Linked DNA regions of Schizosaccharomyces pombe. The gene in region 2 interacts genetically with the main gene of each other region. Each region holds a gene or a part of one and is shown on either strand. Other genes may lie near its edges.

Region 1 (5,384 bases), 420 kb from region 2:
ATTGCTTTGTACAAATTGTTTACCCCTAAAAATCGCTATATGAAGGCTCTTGAATCGGGCTGTATCGATTACTTCAAGCGTGGAGGTAATTGTGTTGAAGGTCCCATTCGTTTATTAGGCGGTTTAGACCATAGCCCTTCTCATCTTATCGGCCACTTCTATGCCGTCTGTCTCTATGGTATTTACCAATATGTCTTGTCTGGTCCTGCTTTGCTTATGCCCGTCCGTATCATCGAATCCTTATTGATTTTCTTACAAGCTTCGCTAGTAATTATCCCTTATATCCTTAGCGAAATGTCATCCTAAGTTTGCAGAATCAGTTCATTAAAATTAAATTATTTTTGATTTATGAATTGGTTGATTATGATTGTCTTGGCAATCACTGATAGCTATTTGGTTTTTGCCTTGTTTGGTACGTCGTTGTTTTTAAAGAAATAGTTTTAGATAGAGTTGGGTTCAAGTTTGTAATGACTTCACACTCTTTTTGTTTATTATATAAATCCCTCTGTTTTTCAAGAGTTATAAATTGCCGTTTTAATATAAAATACTTTTTTTTAATTTTTAAGCCTACTAAGTACAATTATTCGTCAGCGTTAAGTAAACAATTATCCCGAGACTACAAGACCACGATAGTAACATGAAAATTGGTATTTATTATTTTAAAAGTCCCTTAATGAACAACCCAAATCGTTTATATTATACAGATGAGTTTTCAAAACAATGATAAACCCGGGAACAAAAATACGATGTCCATATGATGATTCACTTGCATTACAATCTTCTAGAGTTTTTGGAGCTTCCCTTTTTATGTTCATCTTCTAGGAAGCGTAGCCATTCTGGGCAGAACTTGAATCGATAGAGAGTCTCTTTTTTGGTGATTCATCATCAGCTTGCTGATCATCAACTTGGAAATCCGATTTCCTTTTAGAATAACGGGTGTTTGAAACATTAATACCTGAAGATTCTGCAGAGGTATCATAAACTGCAGACTCAAGGAAATAACGATCCTCTAATATAGGTTGCTTTGGCTGCTCGCAACTGTCTTCAATATTTAGCTCAGCAGGGGCTATAGAATCAAGAACAGTACGTTGTCCAACTTTTTCTGATAATTCAGTATCGTTTTCAATAGAAAAATCTTGCTGTATTTCCCAATCTTTGGATACGTCGTCTCCAACACGTTGGTTATTATTGGAGGCACCGTCAAATTCATAACTATTTGATTCATGAGTCCCAACAGTTTTAGGGCTTCTTGAGTCAGAGCTTAAGCCATCTATTATATTTAAAAGCTCAGAAAAAGTACTGAGATTATTTAAAGATTCCAGCTGTGGTCGATAGTTTTTATTGAGATAATCCAGTGTATCTTCAGATCCCTCGGATCTTAAAAATTCAAAAAACTCTAAAGCAGCTGAGTTGACTAAATTAGTTTGGTCTTTGACCTTTAACATCAAGTCCAGAACTTTTCCGTATGTGTCAGTTTCTAACATGATCAAGGACATTTCTGACTGACGAGCGGCCAAACAAGAGCGAATAAATCTAAGGGCGCTCAAAACAACATATTTTCTATCGCTGTATAGTAATAGAGCCACTTTTGATGTAAGGGTTTTATATGTATCAAAACGACGAGACCAATAATCGTGTATACGAAAAAAATAACAAAAAAGCTCACACAAATGCATATACATATCAAGCTTTTTAACATCTAAACTCGATACATTTTCCAGCTCCAATAAAGGAGCAGCAAGCATATTAAAAGAGTTATCATAAAAATTTTCAATAAAATTAATTCCAATAATGTTATCGGTTTTATTTCGAACATTTCCATCAGCATTTCTGTAAGGATTATTGTATGCATAGCTACCAGGTAAACTTAGTAGCATTTTAAAAGCTTCAGAAATTTGAGCAAGTACTCCAGGATTTGATTCTTTATGCAAAATGTTAATTAAATTGGAAAGCAACGAATGTTGGGAAACGTGAGCATTGCTCAATGAAGAAGAAGCGTCCTTGCGATCTTGATCAAACTTTTGCCAAACGATGGCAGGTTCATGATCAATAATAGACACCAAAATATCGGAACCAGCATTTCGAACGGAATTGTTCTCATGTGACATTGCATAATCCAAAGCTTTCAGAAGATTAAATTTAACGAAAGTAGCAAATAATGCAGAGCAGGACTGGAATTGTAGCCCTTTAGCGATGTTGCAAACCTGCTGAATAAAGAATATACCGTCTTGCTTGCGTTGATCATCCTCGCCTTCATTCACATAAATGCTAAACAGTTCATGTAAAAATTTTTCATTTGTTTGAAGGTATTGAATAATATCAGCCTGGTTAAAGAAGATAAATGAATTTAGCACCGAAAAGGAGGGTTCGTCAACAATCCTTGAAACGACAACATCCCTTAGATACTGAAGCTTAAATGTCTGGTGAATTTTTGCAAGAATCCGTGGATCCTGAATGGGAACCACCTGCTTAAACTTTTTGGAATCCATTAAATATTCCCGATGGTTCGCTTTGATATTGGGGAATTCCGGATCGTATTCGAGAATACCAGCTACACACATTAGCTTTTCATCATTAGAGAACAACGATTCGAGTAAAGGGGCGTCGTTCAATTGCACTGACAGCGATTAGCAAGGATTTAACGAATCTAAAAAGTATAAAGTAGATTAACATACCAAAGCTTTTTATTATGGAACACAATCGATGAAGGTCATCTGTATTCTCTAGATCCTCACACAGAGGAAAAAGTTCAATAAGTCTATCAATATAATTTTCATTTGAAACATAACGAACCAAACTATCTCTTGATTGAATAGACTGCATATATCCATATACTGCTTCTTCAATTTCTTTTAAATTAGCAAGCTCTGGGGCTGGAAGATCGACCGTGTTTAGGTAGTTTTCATTAAGCGCCCCCTCATCCGTCAATATATCATCGTTGGAGTAACTTCTAGTTACCGATGATATTGCCTTTTGAACATTTGCTAAAAACATCCACATGTCTATACAACCGCTAGATTCTTGAAAGCTTAAAGCAAGATCAGTACCATTCAATTCTTGCCAGACTATGAGAGTTTCTTCTTGACGGCTGTATATATCTTCCGCAATCAATTGTGTTTTCAAAAGGATGGTTTCATTATCAGCTTCTGAACGCACAATGAAATAAGCCAACGGTCCCTCTATTTTTCCATCGCAATAACCGGTGCCACAGTCTACCCAGTTTTCATCTTCCATTTCGTACACTTTTACACGTCTGGGAATCGATGGCACTTCGATCTTCTGCAATGCAGCTGCAATTGCTTCGTCTAATTCCTCTTCTTCATTTTCTCCATCTGAAATTTCATCAATATTATTATTTAAATCTTCCTCTTCCTTCGTAGAATCCATTTCTACGGCGGATTAAGGGTAGACGTCAGCTTCGAATTTACGACGTTGGCGTTCGTCACCAAATTTTCAAAAGTGAAGACGAAATTCAAACGTGGTGGTGAATGAATGCAATACCGTAGATTGCACCAAGATTGTAATTATTAATAAATGTATTTCTCATTAAATGGCAATGCCGCTTTACTTAATTATTTGGTTTGCCTAAAATATAACAAATAGATTTGTTAAGCAGTGTACTATGTATATTTCACGTGCATAATTTTGAAGTGTTATGGCAGAATTATGTTCTTTATAGAGTCAAATAACTATTATATACGTGATCGTGGTGCTTTCAGTCACTATTTTTCATTGTAATTCGGTATCTGTTTACAACAATATCATTAACGGACGTTATGCATTTTAACGATGAGTACTTCACCGCTCGGTGTATATGCTGTAATCAATCCTTATATCGAGTTGTGTTTTAAACGTTTTATACTGTCTACAATTAGCATTTAAATCTTTTCGAAATAGTAAATAAACTAAATATGAATATAAATAAAGTTAATTATTGTCTAAACACATGTGTAGCCTCGTCAAATCAATTTTTTGCAAGTCAATCATGAGGCTCAGGGTACATTTGTAAAGTAATAGTTAATTTTTAAGTACAAACTAATGGTATTTATACCGATATATATATTGAAAGCTGCTAAAGCTTCGCTAGATATTCAAGTACTCTAGCAAATGCATCAATATAAATACAGTTTTTTTGCTTTTACTAAGTTTTATTGTTAAAGCGTAATACGAGAAATTTGCCAAATGAGAACACGAATTGAATTGATATAATTCCAGAAATAAAAATTATGTATTCAAGACGATGACTGTTGCGATATGCATGCTTACGAGTTTATCGATATATAAAAGACAAAGAGAGTTGAGCTTACCAAAACATATACTGATCCTTCATGGAGAAAAAACAAGATAACGAGGTGGAATTATATTCAATTGATTTAAAAAATAGAAATGAAAGTGCAAAAATAAAGCTTGCTTATGCGAAAGCGTTAGAGGAAAGCATTCTTTGTGAAACACGAAAAATCGAACAAGAAATTAAAGACCAAGTGGTTCAAAAGGAAAATAAAACATATTTTAATAACAAATTTGATAATCGATATAAATTACGCGACTTGGAAAAAAATTTAGCGGAGGAGGAGGTGAGAATTACGGAGATGCTTACTATTCAACGTCAAGACATTGCAATTGAAAGAAGGAAGAACACAAATTGCTTCAGTGAGTCTTCTCAAGTAGATCAATATTCAGTTACTGAAACCAATCTACAATATGCTACTAACATTGGCTTAAACCTTCTGCAACAGTTGCGGTATTTAAGGCTGCAACTGTCAGAGAAAGAAGATTTGCATAAAAAGTTGTCAGTGGATAATGCCCATTTAATCAAGCAACTTGATCTACTTTCTTCAAACATGAAAACACTTATGAAAGAGAAGACTAAGGTGCAAGGACAAAGGGATTTGCTTGAACAAAGACTACAAGGATTAATGAAAAAATTGACAGAAGTAGAGTCTTTGACCGTTTCACTTAACGATGAGAAGAACAAACTGACATTGGAATTAACAAATTTAAGAATTTGCCTTCACGAGCTTCAACTGAATGCCGAAAAAGGCGAAACTATAGATGAAAGTGAAGATTCTAAAAATACTTTGGTAACTGAGGATGAAAACGACGATTCTGTATTTTTGGAGTCTTCCTCGGATAAGTATTTTGATAGTTCATCTTTTGATGCGGAGCAAGAAGAGAAACACGATTTTCCAATAGATCCTTTTTTGTCGTTGGAATCCAATGTACAAACTTCGGTATCTCAATCATCGGCCGTTCTCAAATCCATCAATTTAGCAAAACAGGAGTTAGTGAGTGTAAATCATTTGGTAGCTGACGATACTAAAACACCGTCTCCAAATTTATCATCGGAAATAATTGAAAACACAAAAGCTGACATAAAGAAATCA
Region 2 (4,663 bases):
CTGAAGCTTCTGTCCATGCACATTTCCATTCATTGGCCAATGCTTTTCCCTCTTCAGCGGTAACAGCACGCTGCATATGCAAGTCGCTCTTATTGCCAACAACCACAATGGGGACCCACTCAGTACCCTTAATAGCAAGTAGGTTAGTAAAAAATTTAAAAATTCTAATAATTTGACATACAGTGTGATTCAATATCTTGTCACGAACTATTTTAACCATCTCAAAAGAAGATTTGCTAGTAATGCTGTAAACGAGTACATAGCCATGGATTCCAATGGAATGCTTAGAATTTAAGATACTGTATTCATCTTGACCAGCCGTATCGATAATTTCAGTAGCAAATTCTTGACCCTTATACTTGATGTTCTTGCTGAATGTATTTTCAATAGTTGGATAATACGATTCAACGAAATGGTTTTCAACATATTGCACCGTTAAACTATTTAAAAAAAATGGTTAGTAAACCTATTTGCGCATAAACTTCAATCAAACGCTTACCTGGACTTTCCAACAGAACGACTGCCAAGAACAGCAATTCTACGAGATTTAATAGGAGCCATTGTTTAAATTAGAAAATTTCAAGATTATAATATTTAAAAAGGCAAATTATTAACTATAGAGTGATCGTAAAAAAAAGTGAGTGAAAGCAACGATGTTGTGGATGTCACGTTCCCAGCGCGCCGCAAAGGTCATTTTACCAAGTCACTGCGCAAGTAGTCTTGCAACGATTTATGTAGTTCATCAATTATAGAAACAATGGCTAGTCCATTAGAACCCATCATCATTAATTCCTCTTTCAATTTCAAATGAAAATTTTTAAATTTATGTAGAGATTCGTAAAACTGAGATATCAAAGGCTTGAGTTGGGCAAACGCTTTGGGATCATTTAAAAAGCAATGGCTTAAAATCATTACGACATATCCACTAATTTCTACGATACTTTCCTACATTTGTTAGAAATGTCTTACAACAGAAGTAGTACAACTTACGTTCTTTTGATAAAACGAAATGAGGACATCGAGTGCTGAAGCTCCGAAAGAAACTAAATAGAATTAGTAAAAATATTAATAAAAGGAACTTACCTTCAACATGAGTGATAGTTTGAATAAACTCATGAGATTCCTCAACTAGCCCTAGTAAAAGACCAAGGATTAAGATAATTAGTTCTCGTGTAGTTTCATCATCGGACGAAAAATTAGAAAACTTTTGTAAAATTTTATAAGCAAACAATGGGACTTCTGATTTAGAAACCGCTAACGCATGATCACTGTTAGAATTAACTGTTTGAATCAAAGTACGCAACAATTTTTCACTGCATGCATGGACAACTGTATCGTCAATTTTTGGTGAATTTGTTTCATTGTGTTCATCAATTAAAATTTGTAACTTTGAGGATAAGATCTGTGAAACCTTCTGAATCTTTTCTGATCCCTGGAAATCCGTAAATTTTTCTAAAGAACTACAAAGTGCATGAAGTAAGAAGTTATTGCTTCCATCGTTTTCCTTCAAGATGGGGTAGGATTTTTCTATTAAAAGATTGATTAATTCGGTAAACAACTCGCTTTCCGCAAAAACTCCCGAGGACGTCTTCATAAGAGCGATAGCTGCAAGACTGATAGAATCAGAAGAAGCAAGAGACTCATTGCTAAAACTAAAAGTAAGCTCTGCCTTTATAACGAATTCTTGAACGGCTCCCTTTACACTTTTTGGTAAGCTTTTTGCCAAAATTGAAACCGGTACCTGCGGTTCTAAAGTAATAGCCGTTTGCAAAAGAAGTTTAACATTGTTTGAGTAAGCATCAAGCAAGGAACTCATGCAATCCATTTCATTAGCCATAGTTGCAAATATATAAATCTGCAAAAAAGTGTGTAAAGTATCTTTAGGATCAATTTCTTCAAATATTCGCAAGAAGACATCCCGTATCGACTTTAAGCATAAACGAAATGAATTGTCAAACATTTTTTCAGCGATTCCTATTAAACTCAAATAGCGAGAAGCAGAAGAGTTACCTGAGAAAGTCACTCCGTCCACTAAGTATTCAATTTCATCAACGATCCTTTGCTGCTCTCCAGCAAAGCGAAGTTCATGTATACTTTTCATTTGAATTTCATCATCTTCTGATACGTCTTCCTCTATCAAAAAAGCACGTTCTGTACCAATAGTATGGTTGGTTGAATCCAATTCTCGACCAGAGGATACTTCACGGGGTACAATTGGCTGAGTATCTAATCCTTCCTCCATCAAATACGATCTTTGTTCCCGATAGGTAGTGGAAGAATGGTTTGCGGAAGCATCAATACTACTACAGCTCGCGGACCTTTCCAGTCCTGTCTTATGAGAACCGTACTTTGAATTCTGAAGTCCATTTCTTAAAATTTGTTTTACCGGTGAAGACGGTAAACTCAAATCAGGATTACTAACGACCCTTTGCTTTTTATGCAGTCGTTTAGACACGGTCTGTCCTGGCGAGCGCTTTTGCTTGTTTAACTCTGAAACTGTCACGTCTAAAAAGTTCCAAACTTCCGATTCCGAAGAAATTCTCTTCAAACCATTATCTTTTTCCTTACATTTTCCTCTTTTCATTTCAAGGTTTCTTCAATCCGCCTGGCTTGACATCGATTCTTTACAAAAATGGAGGAACACGGTCGTACCAACTCACAATGTAGCTTGTCGAGTGAGTGAAAACCTTCGAAAATAGAGCTTAATAACTTCTTGAGCAAAGAAAAAAGAAAATAGGGTCCTTGATGAGAAATTCGTTTTTTATACTCAGTAATTTTAGAATCGTTTTTCTATTTGTACTTGGTTGATTTCAATCGGTCCTTATAGATATTTGAGTCACATTGTTACTCTACCCAGTATAAATAGAAAAGACTTAGTCGATAGAAATCATACAGGGCATCTTTTTATTCATTTATTATAGCAACTTATCCACTGATAGTAAAAAAGTTAACTAAAAGTTTTGAATTCGTACAACTTATGGAAGACCATAAGTGGACGAGTGGCTATTTGACACAAGTTTGTTTTCAGAGAGCCTGAACTTGGTGCAACACCTTTATTATACAGAAATCATTGTGACATGTAACATATTATTGAAAATTTCGACAACGAACAACTCAATAATATCTCGCAGAGCAAAGGAGTTATTCAAAATTTATATAACGATGCATCCTGTAATAATTTTAAACTCGTATAAGAGATTCTATAAAAACTTCGGAAAATGAAAAGCTGTAGTTAAAAAATTGTTTTGTGAATTTTGTACAAGTGTTGGAACTTATTTATTCAATATAATCTACTGAATCATATAGGCTAAGTAAGACATAAACTGATTAGTCGGACAAATGTGAACTAGTTAGCAAGCGCGACACGATAGCTACGCGACGCGTCAACAAACGCGACACGCTCAAATTTAATATAACCCTCGATATAAATGAAATGTCGCGCCCTATATAGTCACGACAACAATATCCTTATTTTTGGATTTTGTGTTCAAATCATGAGCGCTGGATCGCAAACAAAATTGAACTTCTCTGTCCGTAAAACTCGATCCTCATCAAAAAGGTCGAATGCGGCCATTATTGAGCCACCCAAAAATCCTGAGGATTCTCAAATAATACCAGCTGTTAAAAGGCTGAAAGAGAACTTGGACACTGAGTCTTTAGAACAAAATGAGGTTTTACCCCCAGTTAAAAATGAATCAGTTCTTTTCTTAGAAAAGGTCTTTAATGCAGTCGACATATGTGTAAAATTTCACCTCTCCATCAATACCAAACCAACCTTTGTGCTGTTAGAAAATAAAGTCTCTGGTCTCACCAAAATCTCCTTAAAAATAACTCATCTCGCTCAGATTTTAACCGTATGGCCAGAGTCATTTGCTATTACCCCATGTTTTACTATTCATCAAGGAAAGCGTGTTGCAACATATGAACTGTCATACCCTCGCAATGCGAATCTTCCTGAAGCCTTCTCCCGCTCCATTGAATTTAAACGGAGACTAGAAAAATGGTTGTTAGAGCATTGTTCTGAAACTGAGATTCCTGCTCAACAGTTACAAGCTTTACCCAGTCTATCCAAGAATACTGTTAATGAAAGTTCACTAGTTCGAAAGCTCAATTTGGAGAAATCAACAAGTCGCGAGTTACGTATTCCCACACAAACTCTAGAACCAAAATTCACTACTAACACGGCAAAATATGCTAATGAGTTAGTCTCGTGTAGCATGCTTGACAGTTCGTCCACTTTGTCAAAGTCAGTGAATTCAAAAATCAATTTGAAATCCCATCAAAGTTCTTCATCTGTTCAAAATTCATCGCGTAAGCTAACATCATCTCAGTTAACTTTGAGACAATCTTCTCTGTTCGATCGCGTGCGTAAAAAGCAAAAAGCAATGGAAGCAAAAAAAGCTGAAGAATTTAAAAACAACCTAGTTGTTCATACTCTAGCAAAAGAAAAGGTCTCATTTGTCCGCATTATTGATCTCATTTTTGTTCAGCTTTCCACTTGGCCAACTAAACGATCTTTTTCTATGTCTGAAATTGTGACAAGCATGCAAATGTCGATATCATCAAGCTTATCACCTGACCAGTGTGCCAAAGCAATTGAGTTGCTTTCAAAAGCTTTGCCTGCTTGGTGCACTATCAATCTTCTTGGTAATATTCAAGTAGT

Evidence for each region.
Region 1: of wpl1 (region 2) and psy2, changing one suppresses a phenotype caused by changing the other (phenotypic suppression), as found in Schizosaccharomyces pombe (one study listed by BioGRID).

What each region holds. Positions count from the first base shown.
Region 1 is NC_003423.3:893,747-899,130, forward strand, and holds psy2 (serine/threonine protein phosphatase PP4 regulatory subunit 3 Psy2), read right to left. Parts: upstream 3,669-5,384; 5' UTR 3,388-3,668; coding exon 2,676-3,387; intron 2,618-2,675; coding exon 819-2,617; 3' UTR 626-818; downstream 1-625. Other genes in the region: squalene monooxygenase Erg1, read left to right, coding at 1-306; dynein-anchoring factor Num1, read left to right, coding at 4,329-5,384.
Region 2 is NC_003423.3:473,937-478,599, forward strand, and holds wpl1 (WAPL family protein), read right to left. Parts: upstream 2,793-4,663; 5' UTR 2,585-2,792; coding exon 1,084-2,584; intron 1,075-1,083; exon of another isoform or gene 1,044-1,074; coding exon 991-1,043; exon of another isoform or gene 946-990; coding exon 691-945; 3' UTR 638-690; downstream 1-637. Other genes in the region: Rheb GTPase Rhb1, read right to left, coding at 1-127, 182-440, 500-561; DNA replication licensing factor Cdt1, read left to right, coding at 3,495-4,663. UniProt on the Schizosaccharomyces pombe protein: Regulator of sister chromatid cohesion in mitosis which negatively regulates cohesin association with chromatin.